Linked DNA regions of Kluyveromyces lactis. The protein of the gene in region 1 purifies or fractionates together with the protein of each later gene. This does not show direct contact. Links are inferred from orthologs where the notes say so. Each region holds a gene or a part of one and is shown on either strand. Other genes may lie near its edges. The genes, in order: CLP1 and RNA15.

Region 1 (3,494 bases):
GTTCGCGTGGTAGTCTTTCCACTATCGTGTCAAAATTAGATCTTTGACCACAGCAAAAGTAAGGATAGGAAAGGGGAAGGAACTCACAGTTACGACGTAGAAGGAAATCAGAATTTTGCACGTTGTAGTCGCATTATTTGGCTTGCTAAATTTGATTGTTATTGCTCTACCCAATTGCGTTTCCCAGATCATTGAATTGTTTTTAAAACATCATGACACTTTACAAATTATTAACACCTAAAGCATTCGCAGAATTATTATCCAAGGAAACTAAGCGCCGTATTATCCCAGTAGATTCCACCTGGTATTTACCAAACTTGAACAGAAGTGGGAAGCAAGAATTTTTAGATGAAGAACGTCTAAAAGGAGCTGTTTATTTTGATATTGATGGTGTCAAAGACATGAAATCTGAATATCCTCATATGTTACCAGATCTCAGTACTTTCAATAAATCCATGAGTGAATTGGGACTGAAGAAGGATGATATTTTAGTGGTTTATGATAGAATTGGTAACTTTAGCGCACCTAGATGTGCATGGACATTAGCTGTTTTGGGACATGATCCCGTATATCTCTTGAACAATTTCCCTGCCCTGAAACTGTCTGGGTACCCCGTTGAGACTTCTAAAGTGACAAGTTTTACTCCATATGAAATGAGTGAATACGTGTCCGATGTTGATTTGGCAGAGAAAGAAACAGTTTCCTTTGAAGATATGCAGAAATTGGTGTCGACAGGTGATATTAAGAACTACCAGGTTTTGGACGCTAGAAGTCTTCAAAGATTTACTGGTGAGGCGCCAGAACCTAGACCGGGCCTCAGCTCTGGTCACATTCCTGGCGTTCAGCCATTGCCCTTCCTAGAGGTCTTGAACAGTGATAAAACTTTTACTTCAGATCGTGAGGAAATGCTAAAGAAAATACAAGACTTCGTCTCGCAAACCGGCAATGAGTTTGAAACCGATAAACCAACCATTGCAATGTGTGGTACTGGTGTCACAGGTGTCATAATCAAGACTGCATTAGAGATTTCAGGTGTCAAGAATGTCAGACTCTACGACGGGTCTTGGACCGAATGGGTGATGAAAGATGGAGAAGTGGCTAAAGGAAGTTAAGAGAAATACTTCGATAGAATGAGTGATTTCCCATACACTGAATGTAGGGAAGATGTGAAACATGCAGTACTACCTGAAAGAACAGTAGCTCTGCATCCCTGACACTTGAAAAGAACCCTGCGCAAATCAATAATTGCCCACAATTGGTTTATACTATATTTTCAGTATGTATGCTAGGAAAAATCTGTAATGATATATTGATCAAAATTAAAGTGTTTAAGTGTTAGAAAAGGTTTAATTAACATAGAACAAAAGGTAGATGAGCTGATAGCCCGACCATTACCACTCGCAGGAGAAGCTAGAAAAAAGGAAATGGAGTTTGTAGAATTCAGCGAGGTTTCTGAGACCACTAAGACATCGTCTCTTCCGCAGGGCCATGAATGGACCGTTCAAGTTCCAGCAGGATCAAAGCTAACAGTTATTGTGAAGTATGGGATCGCTGAGATACTGGGAACAGAGCTTGCCAACGATGTGCCCTACACATTCCAAGGTGTAATAGTGAACATCTATGCTATTGAACGATCTATGATCGAATGGAAGTGTTTAGAAGAGCTTGAGCCAAAAGTTTCGGAAAATAAGTCATATCATGCCTACATATACAATCTAAATTTTGCATTAGAAAGATTACGACTCTCTAGTTTCAATGGACCTAGAGTACTAATAGTAGGTAACGCCTCAACTGGAAAATCATCGCTAGCTCAAATGCTATGCTCATACGCGTTGAAGATTAGACATTATCAACCGTTGTTAGTGAACTTGAACCCACAAGATGGTGTTTTTTCTTTGCCAGGTTCAATTACAGCGACACCCATTTCTGAGTTGCTAGATGTTGAAAGTTCTATATGGGGTCAGAGTATTACTACAGGTGCTACCAAGCTCCATAACAAGCAACCTCTTGTTAAAAATTACGGCTTGGAAAATATCAGAGATAATAGACCACTATATTTATCGACGATTACACAACTAGCATCGGGCGTGCAACAGAGATTAAAGAACGATCCAATAGTAAGAAGGTCTGGCGTAATAATTGATACCCCTAAACTTTCACATCTTGACACCGAAGATTGGTCCGAAGTTGGCCACATGATAGAACAATTCGATATTAACGCAATAGTGGTATGTGCAGAAAGTGATGACTTAGCTATCGAATTGAGTGAAGTATTCAGGACTAAAATAGGATCAATTGTAAGAATTCCGCCACCAGGTTCAATTATCGCAATTGATGATATCATGAGAAGAGCTTTACAGAGGGTTCAAATAAGAGAGTACTTTTATGGTACCACAGAAACAGTCCTAAGTCCATACACTATGGGTGCTGGGTTTGAAGAATTAACAGTTTTCAGGCCAAGAAATATCTCTGAATATGGAGAGGATAAAAAGGATGTTGATCTAACAGTATTTGACAAAATTGAAGTCAACAGCTCAAACTTACAGCACGCTATTATCGCTATCACTAATATATCTAGAAAAGAAAGCCAAGATAAACTTAACACTGCATCGATAATCGGGTACGGTTTGATCACAGAAGTGAATGATTCAAAGAAAAAACTCAGGGTATTACTTCCAGTACCGAGTAGAATACCAGATAGAGCTATGATTCTCACCGAGTACAGATACTTGGAATGATTCTTACTTATAATTCTTTCATAGTCATTGTTTACATATTTATGAAAAATGTCAACAAAATCGGATACTTTATTTAATGATAGGATATACACAAATGCGAATAAGATACACCGAAAAGGAAACTAATATATAGAAGCATTAAGATTGCTGCTGAGGTTCATTATGACCGTCGAATTCCAAAAAATTAGGGTAGTAACTGGCTATGATCCGTATGATCTCAGCTGTGTGGCGTTACTCGTATTATATTGCCTAGGGGAAATAAACTTGTCCCTCCATAACATCACACGAATATTACAAATAGTTCCAAATGATGAACTGGATAGCGTTGGGCTTCCAACATTAGAGAATCTAGTTTTATATCTCCGAAAGAACGAGGATAGTCAAACTAAGGCTTCCTTTAAGTTGATCAATCTCATATTTTCTATCTCCAGTTTTAACCACATTCAAGAATTGATTCATCATTTAAGAGATGCAATAATAGTTTCTCCAGATCAACAAGGAGTCCTTTCGAAATTCAGGAGAATTTTATGTCGTTCAAGTGTGATTTGCGAACTTCTACCGCGTGTTATAATAGACTCCAATATCAGCGAATTCTTCGTTGAAGATATTCATCAAATAGTCGAATCTTTTCAGGCATTCAAAACTAGGTTTTTATCCTGTGATATATCAAACATTTACAGAGAGGATATCAACAATTCATCAAATTTGACGAGCAGGATATTCTCACATACTCATACGAATGATTGTTTTCCAGAA
Region 2 (3,040 bases), on another chromosome or scaffold:
TGCACGAAATTAAGGTTAGGTTCACTGCTGAAGCTAGTTGTAAATTAATTTTTTTTTTTGGCTATGAAGTTTCTGTGTCTGTGTCTTTCGTGAGACTTTACGGCTGCCAGAGAAATATGCCATTCGAATAAGAACACTTATTTTTCTGGTTGCTTAAAAATCTCGATGGTAACTGGTTCATGGCCTAGTCCGCTATGGACGGTTGTATTTCCTTTAGCCTTGCTACATATGAAGCAAGGCTGAGAAAGCTTATTCATTTGTCACAAACTTGGTGGCAGAGAAACGATGTTTGCGGCAGTTGTCATTTTACAGCAGCAGCATCATCATCAGATGGATATCATTGACGATTAACTTGAAAAAATTGTGCTATACTTGACTCGGATTATTGCTTTCCACACATGAGTACTCTTCTTATCCGTTAAAGCCTCCACCTTAGTGTCTTTCAGCTCATTCTGGGTTGAAGTTTTCACAAATGTTAATAGGGTAGACGCTAGTTAATTTCATTTTCTTGGAGCTGATACACGTGACTTTACAGAGTTAATTAATTTGAATAGATACTGCATACGTGGAGTAAGCTTGGTTATTAACCCTTCTCTTCATTATTTCCATAAAATTATACTGCTACTTCTGTCTTACCGTCAAGCGCATTCTGGCTCATTGAAGGTATATTTTAGAGACTGAACTTTACTTCATCCGAAAGTGCGTATTCAATTTGTACATTCTACACCGTTTCATCTATAAGCATTAATGAACTTTATAGTTGACGCATGTTCATTATTTTTGATTTTCCATCCATGAGACGATCTATTAAAGATGACCGAATTCACCTTTCATTGCCCTCTGTTTGAGTTCCCAAACTGCCATCTTTTCGTCTTGCGGAAGCATTGCTATATCTGAATCCTGTAGCTGTAGAACTTGCCTTAGAAGATCCACTTTCTCTTCGTCTAATCCGTCTTCCACTGTGTTATCAGTCTGTTCCTCTGGCCTTTGTTTACTCGCCATAGCCAATTGTGTCAATTGGTCCACACTGCACACACCGTTACTCAACAGGAGTTCCGCAATAGCATAGCTCAATTGAGGTGCCTCTTCTAGGAGTGCTACGAAAGTTTCCTTGTCGTCTTTACAGAAATGTTGGATTACTTTTAGTAGAGCCATCTGTTGGTCCTTTTGTAGCTTCCCCAATTCACTACTGATACACATTGCTGGTGTAGTCATATTGATGTTAACGTCCACCCCTACCGGGAGCCATGGGAACTTCACATCCTCAACCATGTTTCCATTCTCCTCTTCATCTCCGGGGCCAGATCCGCTGCCGTTTATGCCACTACCGGTGGTGTATCCGCACTTTAACGATCTTGAACCCAATGTATACCCGTTCAAGTTTCTAACTGCACTTGCCGAAGTTGCCAAATCTTTGAATTCAATAAAAGCATAACCCTTAGATTTACCCGTCGTTGGGTCAAACATCATCTTCATTGCCGTTACTGGTCCTATCGTCTGACATAGGTCTAATATTTGTTGTTCTGTTTGGTCATACGGTATCGAACCTAAATAAACTGTGCGCGATGGATTTCCCCTGTTCATTGCTTTTTAACTATTTCTATGATTGAAATTGGTTGCACCAGGTTATTTTCACAGCTAGCTGTCTGGTGGAAGTCTGTCTTACAAGTCCTTCGATGCTCTTAGCGGTACTTTATAAGTGTAATAAAACTCAGATATGGCTTTATTGTTCGATTCTTCAACTTTCGTCATCAACTTCAATTCTAATTTTTTTTTCAATGTTCGAATGAAATGAAATTAGAATTGAAAACTAATTAATGACTTCAAACAATCAACACTGTCCATTGTCCAAATGGTGGATTTCAGCAGGTCCTAACTCATTAGAATCTGTTGAGAGCAATATTTGCTGTGTATTATTAACATTCATTCTTCATCTTCGAAAGAAATTGATCCTGGAATATAGATAGAAACTGAGATATCTTCTGCGGATATGGAAACCAAGGACGTTTTAGAAGCCGTCAAAGGATTAGAGAAGAACAAAAATAATAATGATGTTGTGTTCAAGATTCTACAGTCATTAGATAAAGATTTGAAAGATGTTAATGAGAAGCTTCTTAGAGAGACGAAAGTAGGGGTCGTAGTCAACCAATTTAAGAAATCTTCCAATCCAGACATCGTCAAATTGGTGAAGAAGATGATTTTATCCTGGAAAGATGCTGTGGCTCGTGAAAAGAAAAGCAAACTAAGCAGCAATTCCTCATCTACAAGTAACAATAATGGTACAAGCGGTGGAGAAGCAGTAAAGAAGGAGAAATATGTCAGCAAAGCTCCAAGAAATGCTAAGAACGACGGTGTGAAAACGGATATATATGGTGTCAAGATTAGAGATATGGCTATTAGGGCATTATATGATGCATTGGCAAAAGAAAGTGAACATCCTCCAGTAGCTATCCTAGATACAGTAATGAGTATTGAGACAGAAATGGCTAATCTGTTCAATCCCGAGTCTGACGAAAAGGGATATCGTGACAAATACAGAATAATTTACTCAAATATAATCTCCAAGAACAATCCAGATTTGAAACATAGAATTACGAATGGAGAAGTATCAGCCAAACATTTAGTGACTGCTGATCCTAAGGACTTGGCACCGGAACATTTAAAGAAGAAAATTGAGGAAATTGAGAAACAGAATTTGTTTAATGCACAAGGTGCAACTGTAGAAAGATCAGTAACAGATAGATTCCAATGTGGCAAATGTAAACAAAGAAAAGTATCATACTACCAACTACAAACAAGATCTGCGGATGAACCTCTTACTACTTTTTGTACATGTGAGAATTGCGGTAATAGATGGAAGTTCTCGTAGTTGAAATTCTCACTTTGAATTTTACGAAGATAGCCTTGGCATATGATACACTAAAGCAGCATGATGATGGCAGTGATCAAGCACTAAAACTCTTTCGTTATTTCATTGCTAGCTAGATGTGTACACATAGCATCCGCCAATTCTACATCATACATTCTTCCGGCTAACTAG

The links.
Region 2: the proteins of CLP1 (region 1) and RNA15 purify together in Saccharomyces cerevisiae (affinity purification with mass spectrometry; 8 studies listed by BioGRID, with this or other methods). This does not show direct contact. The link is inferred for Kluyveromyces lactis from reciprocal best matches to the Saccharomyces cerevisiae genes CLP1 and RNA15.

The regions. Positions count from the first base shown.
Region 1 is NC_006039.1:860,201-863,694, forward strand, and holds CLP1 (cleavage polyadenylation factor subunit CLP1), read left to right. Parts: upstream 1-1,424; coding exon 1,425-2,738; downstream 2,739-3,494. Other genes in the region: TUM1 (thiosulfate sulfurtransferase), read left to right, coding at 213-1,112; APC5 (anaphase promoting complex subunit 5), read left to right, coding at 2,901-3,494. UniProt on the Saccharomyces cerevisiae protein: Component of the cleavage factor IA (CF IA) complex, which is involved in the endonucleolytic cleavage during polyadenylation-dependent pre-mRNA 3'-end formation. Associates with HRB1/CF IB to form the cleavage factor I (CF I) complex.
Region 2 is NC_006042.1:864,254-867,293, reverse strand, and holds RNA15 (Rna15p), read right to left. Parts: upstream 1,585-3,040; coding exon 808-1,584; downstream 1-807. Other genes in the region: transcription elongation factor DST1, read left to right, coding at 1,991-2,869. UniProt on the Saccharomyces cerevisiae protein: RNA-binding component of the cleavage factor IA (CFIA) complex, which is involved in the endonucleolytic cleavage during polyadenylation-dependent pre-mRNA 3'-end formation and cooperates with the cleavage factor NAB4/CFIB and the cleavage and polyadenylation factor (CPF) complex.